Caenorhabditis elegans: one gene and its partners. The protein of the gene in region 2 interacts with the protein of the main gene of each other region in a pairwise test. Each region holds a gene or a part of one and is shown on either strand. Other genes may lie near its edges. The genes, in order: ceh-34, eya-1 and ntl-2.1.

Region 1 (3,753 bases), on a different chromosome or scaffold from region 2:
AGGCTAGATATCTATGTACTCAAAGTTTTTTACTCAGAACTTTTTTGAGCACATAGTTAAAATCTTAAAACTAGTTGACCGGTTTTGCCACGAAAGGAGTGAGCTGAGAGTAATGAAAAATGCAAGACAGATTTTTTCAGACAGTGTTACTTCAACTCCTAAAATAATGATCAAGTGAACTTTACAGTCAATGTGCAGAAAAAACTCACAGGTCCACCAAGTACAGTTATTGCTCACGCAACACGAGTTGTAGTGCCACTTCTCGTAAAGGACGTGTGTCCAGTACATAAACATGACCGTGTAAACCAGTTATCATCTGCCATTGTTTGGACAAGAAAGCACCCGGTTTACTGGAACATCTGTACGGCTAAGCGCCCGCGCATGATGCTGCTCAATATGGTCAAAAGATACACAGAAAGCTAATGAGCATAAAGTGGAAATCAATCTTGATTTTAGCAGTTGGTAGAAGAAAAATGTTCAACCTCTGATCTAGACTCCAGAGTCAATGTTTGATTGCGCAAGGTACTTGGAGTATGATATAATAGTTTTGAGACAATGGACGATAGGTAAAGAGAGGGGATAGACTGTTCAACAGGTAACTAAAACGAAAATTGGAATTTTGGAATAAAAACTTTCCGAGCACAAAAATTTAGTCATTCAAAATCAGCGGCAATTATTTGTTGGCAATTATACAAAATGAACGATAGAACCATGTTTTTCCAGTTTTTTTTAAACCTAAAACAGAGTCAACATATAGAAAATTACTTGATTTATTTGCTAATTGTATTTATTTTAACTGAAACATTTGAGAAAGTTGTAAAATGACCTGAAAGTTGTCATTTCCCGGTTATCGAAGGTTCGAATTATTGAGCATAATTTTTTTTTGCAATCCACAACTTTTCAGGCAATTACTGAAGATTTTTACAAATGAATGCTATTTTCAGATAAAACAAGCGATTTTCTACATTTTGACACTAAATTTTAATTAAAAATGTTGGAGCAATATGGCGCAATAGGTCATTTTGTAGATATACACACTACGAAAACTTAAAAATTTAATCAAACTCAAGTGATCATCACTATGAAATGCGGGAGTGAAATAAGTGTGGTGGTACGGGTTGTGTGTGGCAGAAGCTGGTGAAATAGATATCGGTACAGGTGTAAAATGATATTCCAACTCCTGGCGTCTGTCTCCCTAACACTACTGAATGTCTCTGTATGCTGCTTCGATTCAACCCGAAAAGAAACCAGGAGCTAGCCCGAAGAAACGACGCGAGAAGGAAGGCAATGAGAAAATAATAGGCAAGTTTAGAATTTCAAACCTCGGATACTCTTACTCTGCGCTCCGGTCCAAGCGGCCTCCTCCTACTTTTTCAAGATCTCCCATTACCACTGTGTCAATTTTTTCAAAAAATTTGTTATCACACAAAAGTTCCATGAAAACTTCCAAAATGGTAGCATTGATACAGTACGATCTTTTGGTGCTCGTTCATTCCTATTCGACGGAGAAAATAGAGGCGTGGCCAAGAGCACACACACACACACTGGGGTGAGCCAACGGGGAGGCGACATTCACTGGGGGACGACAAGAGGACGACGCTCTCGGCTCACAGCACCACTCACCACCTACTCTCTTTTTGTCAGCTCCTACCGGCGCCGGATCGACGGATCTTTTAGGATCACGTCTTCTGTGATCTGGCTCATCGAACATGCAGCAGTCATATAACCCGCAAAATAGTCTGACGTAAGTTGAGATCCTTGAAGCAACAACTCGGGAAAGCTCGGGTTACGATCTTCTTTGGTAATTGTATACGTGGCAACGCGACACCGATGGGGCGGCGGTGGCGCCAAGCGATAGTTTTACTTTAGAGGATTCTTTTCCCCCTTCCACCGTCTCAGTCTTCGAATGAGTTCGTTTTTCACCGTGGTGTTCTTTTCCTTAATTCAAGGGGATTTCAATTCAAATCAGGAGTGTGGAATTCCAAAAACAAAGATCGAATTCGACGAAAAGTTGATCCAATATATTCCTTCAAAATTTAGTTCCAAAATATGCAAAAATATTTGTTTGATTCGAAAAAATGTTCGAATTTCAGTTTCAAAAAGTTCGGCAAAAACTCCAATTTTTGAGCTTCTCTACACAATTTTAAATGGGAGCGAATGTTATTTTCAAATCAATCAAATATTTTTCTATATTTTGGCACTACATTTTATGAAAAAATATAGAAACAACTTTTCGCAATATGCTATTTTGTAAAACTGCCTAAAATAATTATAAGTTTTGCCCCTCCGAATTTTTTAGTGTTTATTTTTTCCAAGTTACGTAAAAACTTTAATTTTTTGAATTTCCAGAGCAACCACATCCTACTCGGAGCAAGAAATTGTGTGTATTTGTGAGTCCTTATTCAACGAGGGACTTCAGACAGGACGGACTGAGCAATTGGTGAGTTTCTTTCAAATTCAGATCAACTTTTCATTTTTTATTTTGTTGCGAATTTTGTGGGTTCCGTCTCTTTTCGCTTCGATCATCATTTTCTCCCCTACCTCATCATAATCTTCTCCTTCTTGTTGCTTCGAACGCAGGTGTCATGTGTCACTTATCAAAAGTTTTGACAAACATTTGACGTAGTCTCTCACTGAAGATCATCTCTCTCCCCCTCTTTTCTCCAATTGCTTGAATTTTGCGGTTTTGAGTTTGGAAGAGTCGAACGATAAAAACGTGAAGCAAAAAGGTGACAGAAGGAAGCGAGTACGGTAGCTGCCGCACGCGCGCTTTTCCCTTTTTCTTTCTAGAAAGCAAACAAAAGTCCATTATGGATGAAAGCTTGATGATGATGACGATGTGGGGAAAGTGGGAGCAGATGTTGGAACCTTATAGAGACAGAAATTTAGATTTATTCTAAATGGGGATACCGTTTTGAACTTGCAACTTCTGTGCTCCACTTTGACACATTATATCTTGCCTTTTTTGATTTTCATCAACAAATTGTCAACTGACAAAATACATAGAAAATATTTTTCTATAACACATTTTGACTTTGAAATTTTTTTTGATAAAATCCATCACAGATAAGATATGAGCCGTCATAGTAAAGCAATGGAAGAGAAAGTCTAAACAGGAAAATAATACATTTTTTAAGGTCATCAATGCAACGTAATCTAAAAATTAAAAAAAAAAAAACTATCCTATTAATATTTAACAAGGGCGTCAGTACGTTGTTCTGCAAAATTGACAAAACTGTCGAATTAGTTATGGTGGTCCAATTTTTGAAATTAAAAATGCATGTCAAAATATAGAAAAATTCGATTAATTCGAAAGCGATATTTATTTTCTTGAAAACTTCATAGAGACTTGCTTCAAACTATTTGTAAACTTTAATTTATTTTTCTTGAAACGGCAATTTTCAAGTACTATTCGAGATTTTTCGCAATTTTTTCAACAAACATGAGTAACATTTTCGATTCAATCAGGTGTTTTCCTACATTTTTATTAATTTTTATTCAAAACTTTAATACAAAAAGCTAGATTTTCGTACTGAAAAAAGCAGCTTCAAAAAAAAAAAATTAAAAATTCTATATTTCAACTTTCAGGCCAATTTCATCTACAACCTTCCACAATGCTACCAAGTAATGGAATCAGTTTTAAAAGCACAAGCTCTTGTGTATTTTACAACACAAAACTGGAAGATGCTCTACAAGTTACTGGAATGCAGCAAGTTTTCCCCACATAATCACACAGTTCTACAAAATTTGTGG
Region 2 (3,753 bases):
TTTAAAGTTACGAGGGTTTTAAAAATTTAAAAATAAGCGCCAGGAAATTTTCAAACTCATCTCTTATGCTCATTGAGCCATTTTCTGACTCGTGACTAAAATTTTCGACATGCCTATACCCAAATTAGTCTAAAACACCAAAAAAAAAAAATTAAGCCACAGCGCGGACTCGAACCCGGTCTTCTGCTTGGAAGCCCACCAAAATCCCACTGAGCCACTTGCACCAAATTTTCGAAATTTTATTTTTGGATTTTTTACTGCTTTGCCACAGAAATTGTGCATCGAAGAGCCCCAAGACCTCTGAATTCGATCCCGTCACCACAGGGGGTCCCCCCAACTGTTGCAAGTTGGCTAATGATGGCTATATAATGATGTAATATGGTTGCGTGAGGGGGTATCTAGACTCAACTGGGTATTGGAAAAAGACTAAGGGGTGCCTAAAATCAACTAGTCGCATAAATTGACCAAAAAAAAAATCCAAAATTTACAATAGGGATGTACATCATAATTTTTGATAATTTTTCTGATTAATGTCAGTTTAAAAGGCGATTCGGAGCAAGTTCCTAGTTAAAAATGTATCTTTTTGGAAAAATAGTGAAAATCAAAAATAAGTGTGCTCATTGAGCACCAGGTGACCCAGACATTTGTTTACGTGGATTATAAACTTCGCTAATTATTGATTTGTTTATTTTTCCGAGTTGCAACAAAGTTCGGAATTTTCTACTAAAAAACTTCAACCTAGAAGTTTAAAAGATAGAAATTTGAACTCAGCGCACTCAAATTAATCTAGAAACAGTAAAATGAAAAAATTGTGCCACAGTGCGGACTCGAACCCCGGTCGTCAGATTGGAAGTCATCCGAAATCCCACTGCGCCACTTGGACCAAATTTTCGAAATTGCGAAAAATGAAGAGTAAAAGCTCTGAAAAAAGTTTATTTCAGCTTAAAAATCTACATTTTTATCTGAAACCCCAACCCCGTACCATTAAAATTCGCAGTTCTACTCGTTTTGAGCTCCGAGAGCTTTTTTTCTGGGTTACAAGGAAATTAAAGCCAAGAATCATTTATATAGCTCATCCACACAAAAACAAAAATAAATGCTACAGCGGGGACTCGAACCCCGGGCTTCTGCTCGGAAGCTGTCCAAAAACCCACTGCGCCATTCAGGAACATTTTTAAGATTAGAAATATCGATTTTTCGAGTTTTTTAAATTAAAGTTCACGGTTTAGAAAACTCACAAAATACAGAGAACATTGTAGGAGAGGTTAGCTAGAACTGTCTAGGTACTGAATGGGGAAAGGAGGTACATGGAGGGGGGGGGGGGGGGGGGGGGGGGGGTGTCTTGGAAGAGCTCATCTTACAGACAGACCCTTCTCGCAGAACTTTCTCCAGTTTCATCACCATGCCGATATTTGATACTTTTGGGATGGGGTACCGGGCGCCCGGGGGCGCCCTGAAGCGACATATAACTCACCTCAGAATCTGGAAGCATTTTTTTTTTGATTCAGGAATTGCGAACAATTTCAGATATATAGATTTGGAAATTGTTGAGCAAAAATTTGAGCAACTGGCACGCAGAAGCAGGGAGAGACTGACTCTGATGTATTTGTGTGTGTGTGTGTGCTCTCGTTTTCTCTGCCGGCTCTCTGAGCTCTCGGAGCTCTCACCCCTGAGCTACCGTATGTCTGAGCCAGTCGGCTGTCTGCTCGGAGCTCCGCCTTTTGGTGGAAAATCGCATTATTTTCGGATTCTGAAAAATTAATTTTGAAAAAAAAGTTTTGTACGAGTGACTCAGTGGGATTTTGGAGGGCTACCAATCTGACGACCGGGGTTCGACTCCGCACTGTGGCATAATTTTTTTTCTTTGTTGGTTCGACTATATAAGCCCTGCTGAACACGAATTTTTAACATACAAATTTTTAACTTTTTATTGAAAATAAACTATCAAGCTTAAATTTTAATAGCTCATTGCACCTAGCACACATGAGACATATGCTGAACAGTCCCAAAAAATGCTCAAAATTTTTAAAAATCAGCTCAAACCTCGATTTTCTGAAAATTTGCTCGAATGGCTCAGTGGGATTTTGGAGGGCTTCCAATCTGACAACCGGGGTTCGAGTCCGCACTGTGTCATAAATTTTTTTATTTATTGGTTTGACTATACAAGCCCTGCTGAACACGGATTTCTGACTTATATACTATTTGTAATAACATTTTCAACATTTTGGGGATATATATATATCCCTTCGAAGCTTGGTCTCCAATAGCTTGAACAACTTTAAAACAAGTTCAAAATTGGAAAAAAAAAATATATCGAAATTGCTGAAAAATCAGCTCAAACCGTAATTTTCAAGTTTTTCTGAAAATTTGGCCGAATGGCTCAGTGGGATTTTGGCCGGCTACCAATCTTACGACCGGGGTTCGAGTCCGCACTGTGGCATGAATTTTTGTTTTGCTGTTCTCAGAATAATACAAATCTCCTGAATTCGAATTTTCAACTCTCAAAACCAGAAAGACTTGCTAGGTCGGCTCAAACTTAATTTCTTTTTGTGTACGAGTGGCTCAGTGGGATTCTAGCCAGCTACCAATCTGAGGTCCGGGGTTCGAGTCCGCGATGTGGCATAATTTTTTTTTTGGTGTTATTCTACTAAATTTCGACTTTCCGAGTTCGAATTCGGTCAAAAATTAGACATTTCCACACTGCTTTGTGATTTTTTCGAACTTTTATACCTTCTCAAAAAATCGATATTATTTGTTGATTTTACCCCCTTCCCTTATTTTCCTCTCATTTCTGAGAGTATAGGGAGATGGGGAGCGTGCGAAAGCGGCGAAGCGATCATATTTCAGTTTTCGGGAGCACAGAGTCGAGACGCTGACTTCAATTTTAGTAGTATATGGGACGAGGGACGATTTTGCAATGGAATATTGATTTTGGAGGAAACCCATTGAGTTTTAAGGCATGGGACCTTGAAATTCGGATTCAGAATGTCGATATTAGCCAAATAACACTAAAACAAAAAAATATGCCAAGGCGCGGACTCGAACCCAGGTGGTGAAATTGGTAGTCACCCAAAATCCCACTGAGCCAGTCGGACAAAAAGTTGAAAAGTTCTAGAAAATATGAAATTTGAATAGCAAAATAAAATTAGAAGTCTTAATAAGAAGTTTTCAATAATTCAGGTACTGCTTTCAAAAATTAGCAGGTCGAATTCGGAAACTCTCGAGAAAAATGCTTCTGTGGGCTTCTCGAACAGTTTATGAACCTGGAAGTTTGAAAAATAAAATTAAAATGTTGAATTTAGACTAGTGGGCTTCACTCCGCAGACGTATCCTTTGTAGCATATATTTGTGGGTACCAGCCCTGCGGTTGACATGTTGCATCTAAAAAATTCGAATATTTGGAAAAAATTGGATTTTTTAAATAAAAAAATTCACAAAAAATGGTCCAACTGGCGCATAGTGAAAGTGTTATATTCCTTCCCTTTCCCAAAAATGTCAATTTTTCGAGAAAAAACATTAAAGCTCAAGTTTCCATAGCTATGTGAGCTTAGAAGAGCGTCAGAGTATGCTGAAAAGCCGCAAAAATATCAAAAATTGTTGAAAGTTAGAAAAAACCACGTTTTCCAATAATTTTCAGAAACATGTCCAAATGGCGCAGTGGGATTTTGGCGGGCTTCCAATCAAACGACCGGGGTTCGAGTCCGCTTTGGCAAAAAAAATTTTGTTTTTGAGTTACTGGACTAATTAAACTGT
Region 3 (3,753 bases), on a different chromosome or scaffold from region 2:
TTCGTACTTAAAAACGTCCTAAAAATCCGAAAAATTCTTAAATTCAGGAAAAATTCACAAAACTATTCCAGAATGAAAAATGAAATCTAAAAAACTATGGAGACCAAAGTAAATGCCACAATTTTTGCATAAATTTCCATTGTGAACTTTTGGTTTTTTTAAGGAAGTGGGGAAAAAATCTAGGAAAACAACAAATTCCTAATGAAAATTCTGAAAAAATTGGTTTTCTATTTGGAAAAATGACAATTCAAGTGAATTTCAGAATTTTTTAGATTGATCTGAAAATCAAATAATTTTTTTTTCAAAAAAAAAACCATAAAACTTAGGTTTTTTTTTCTTAGGTAGAATAATTATAATTCAATTAATTGCAATTTTTCAAGCAAAAAATTCCAAAAATCATTCTTAAAAATTCGGTATTACTTGGACGCAAAGGGTTTCGGTTTTCGCCCGAAAATACGGTATCCGGTCTCGACGCGACAAATTTTTGTTAACTGCAAAAGGGTGTGCGCCTTTAAGGAGTACTGTAATTTGAAATTTTTAGTGCTGCGGGATTTCATACTTTTTTTATAAAATATACTTTTTTTTTATTGACAAACTCTGAGAAAATCATTACAAATTAAGGAAAATTCAACAAATTTGAAATTACAGTACTCTTTCAAGGTGCACGCTTTCTTGCATTTCTCAAAAAAAATTTCGTGTCGAGACCTGGTACCGTATTTTTTGTGCAAAATTGTAAAATTGGGATAAAAGGCACACAACTTTTATGGTAGAAAAACATATTACCAAAAACTACTTTCTTCCAAAATTTTTAACATCTTTTTATCTAAAAAAAAAACCAAAAAAAATCTAGCTGCATAACTGAACGATGCACCATAAAATAAATACTCACAAAATGAGCACATAGCCTTGTGTCTTGCTCGAACCCCATTTAAATTATTTACGAGCTTTTTGAACAATTTTTTTGGTTTTTTTTTGTAGTAAAGCCAGAAAAGGCCGAGATTTAGAGATCAGAAGAAGCATGCTACATACACAAATTTCCAGTTGACCGATTTAGTGAAAAATGAGTAAGGAGAGGGGGAAGAAATCAATGAGGAAGGAGCATCTTGTGTGCTCATGGGTCCATCGTTCTCACTTCTTTTACTAAAAGACCACATTCGGTTTGATTAGCTTTCTCTGTGCTTCTGCACATCCTCTCTCCTAACTCTCTATCTCTTCCCATTCATTCCATTTTCGAGAGAGAGGCAAAGAGAGGTCAGGTCAACCAACCCCCCCTCCCCCCCCCCCCCCCTTCAGTAGCAAACGCGCTCGATCGTACGGCCCGCGAGCAGTCGCGTGCATCTCCGCGCCCTCTTCCACTCGACACACTATCTCGTCGTGTTTGATCTGCAGGTTTTCGGGGGTACGGTAACACTGCAGCCCCTATTGACTGCCGGCCTCTATGGGGGACAGAAAAATGGAGAAGAAGAGAGATAGAGAGCGGCGGAGACAGTAGAGAAAATGGTTGAGGGAGAGGAGAGGGTACGTGAGAGAGAGAGAGTGAGTAGGAAATACACACACAGCATTGTTCGATTTCTCGTCGTCGTCTCTCATTTCTCCGCTGCTTTCTTCGATTTTCGAACACCACGACCGCACTGAATTTTTCGGATTCTGATCTGATCATCATCTCAGCCCATCATGTGACTGTGTTTTTTTTTGTGAATCAGCTTCATCATCAACATCGTGTTCTAGACACGCTTCTTCGACTTCAGATGTTTTCTCAATTGATCTACCCCTCCCCGTCCCGTCTAAACCGCATGCGAAACTGGTGACCAAAATCGATTTTCTTTCAGATTTATGAGTAGAACGTAGCCATCTCTCCGCATAGGATTTACCATAAGCGCAGTGCTTATGAATTCTGGTGAGTTTTGATTTTTGAAGGTTTCAGATATCTGGGTCTCGCCGCGAAGATCTTAATTCTGGATGAAAAAGCTCTCCTGTTGATGGACCCTGCCAGTGAACCAAAATTCATATTTGAACCTCTTTCCTATTACCGAGACGGTTTTTCGTCAAAAAATACGGCTCCCGGTCTCGACACGACAAATTTTCCCTAAATGCAAAAGGCTATGCGCCTTTAAAGAGAACTGTAATTTCAAGCTTTTGTTGCTGCAAGATTTTCATCGATTTTTCATAGTTTTCAAACAAAAATATATTTGTTTATTCTAAAAACTCAATTTGGAAACAATCGGTTGAAAAAATAATAAAAATCGATGAGAATTCTGCAACAACACAAGTTTTCAACTACAATACTTCTTAAAGGCGCACACACCTTTTCGCGTTAAAAACATTTCCGGGTCGAGTTTTGGTGTGGTGCAAAAATTTGAGCCTGGGGAATAATTCCGTCTTATTTCCGTGAGAAATCCTTCGAAAATTAACGTTTTTGTCGAAAAAAACCGTGAATATCAAAGTGTGTTCGTGGCGAGACCCATCCGAATAAATCCATGCGGAAAATCGATTAATTCGAATTATCGATCGCATGAAAATAATTTTAAATTCAGAAAGAAAACTTTAAATTAAAATTAACCAAAGCCTATTTTCAGTCGGTGGAGTAGCTACCGAACGACGATTGCCTCAAACGCAGCAATTTCTTTCGCATTCCAACTTTCACTCCAACGCAACAATTATTGACGAGTCCCAGTTTCCATCACTGGGCGCGAAAGGTAAATTCACTGATTTTTTTTTATTAGCTTGAGAATATTCTTAAATCTATGAAAAACTCACTGTCGAACTCTCATTCTTATTGTTAAATGGAAAAAAATTAAAATTAAAATATTAAATTTGACCTGCTTGTGTGGAAGTCCACGGAAATGTTTTCCTTGAATCTTTCATCCTTTTTATCAATATTTAAAAAAAATTAGAACAATTATTTCATTTCTCAAGGCATTTCATCGATTTCTATTCAGGAACGTCCTCACTCGGCGGCGGCGGATTCTCCCCAATCCCAACAACGAGCGGAGGTGTTTTGAACGTTGCCCAGTCATCGCCGTCGAGAGATCTTTACGGCGCACAAAGACCCAATTATGGTAAATTTTACTTTTTTCTCTTTCTGTGTGATGAAAAGCATGAAGTATCAAAAATTAAAAAAAAAAGTACGATAGCTGGTTGTGAACCGCGAATATATATTTTTTTTTAAATCAATTTTTGTTTGCTCTTTGAAAATGCGCGCGCGCGAAATTCTGATTGAACATTTTAAAAATTACAATGCGTGTTTCATTCTGTTTTGAACGCAATTGTGCAATTTTTCGATGTTGGCAACTTCTTTCCGTGAGTTTTTAGGCAAAACGCAAATTTTCTGATAAAATTTACTCATTTTTACTGCAAAATTCCGATGAATTCGAGAAAAAACCGCCGAATTCTTTTGGAAAATTTTATTTTTTATTTAAGAAAAATCAATATTGAATGTGTGCAAAAGTCCGTGACGGTGGTTGCGTATTCCATGATCGACCGTACCCCGCAGAGATTTTTCGTTCAGAATTTCCATAAAAATTCTCCGAATTTTCGCAGTTTTTGTCGTGTTCCTGTGTTGTTAAACCATGCAAAAATTAATTTTCAGCTAACCTGATGAGATCGGACCCCAGTCTAACAAATCCCGAGTTCCAAATACAGAACGAGGATTTTCCCGCGCTTCCCGGCGTCGGTTCTGGTCAAACACAGCGATCAATGCTTGGAGATCAACTGGCTAACGTACTTAAATTTAATTTAATGTCAACAAAATTT

What was found.
Region 1: the proteins of eya-1 (region 2) and ceh-34 interact in binary tests that used the Caenorhabditis elegans proteins (3 or more experiments, as listed by UniProt).
Region 3: the proteins of eya-1 (region 2) and ntl-2.1 interact in a two-hybrid assay, tested with the Caenorhabditis elegans proteins (2 studies listed by BioGRID).

Annotation. Positions count from the first base shown.
Region 1 is NC_003283.11:5,317,393-5,321,145, reverse strand, and holds the start of ceh-34 (Homeobox protein ceh-34), read left to right. Parts: upstream 1-1,568; 5' UTR 1,569-1,709; coding exon 1,710-1,744; intron 1,745-2,349; coding exon 2,350-2,440; intron 2,441-3,588; coding exon 3,589-3,753. UniProt on the Caenorhabditis elegans protein: Acts as a transcription regulator. Binds to the sequence motif 5'-TCAGGTT-3'. Binds to the cis-regulatory element of proapoptotic factor egl-1 gene and together with eya-1 activates egl-1 expression to promote motor neuron M4 sister cell apoptosis.
Region 2 is NC_003279.8:14,229,751-14,233,503, forward strand, and holds the start of eya-1 (Protein phosphatase eya-1), read right to left. Parts: upstream 1,611-3,753; 5' UTR 1,493-1,610; coding exon 1,475-1,492; intron 1,281-1,474; exon of another isoform or gene 1,239-1,280; intron 1-1,238. Other genes in the region: clec-114 (PAN-3 domain-containing protein), read right to left, coding at 3,285-3,381. UniProt on the Caenorhabditis elegans protein: Tyrosine protein phosphatase. Acts probably as a transcription regulator in the embryonic and postembryonic development of several tissues including pharynx, vulva and gonads. Required for the development of anterior tissues during late embryogenesis.
Region 3 is NC_003280.10:4,374,535-4,378,287, reverse strand, and holds the start of ntl-2.1 (NOT2/NOT3/NOT5 C-terminal domain-containing protein), read left to right. Parts: upstream 1-1,829; 5' UTR 1,830-1,887; coding exon 1,888-1,897; intron 1,898-2,576; coding exon 2,577-2,696; intron 2,697-2,939; coding exon 2,940-3,059; intron 3,060-3,246; exon of another isoform or gene 3,247-3,281; coding exon of another isoform or gene 3,282-3,300; intron 3,301-3,589; coding exon 3,590-3,720; exon of another isoform or gene 3,721-3,740; intron 3,741-3,753.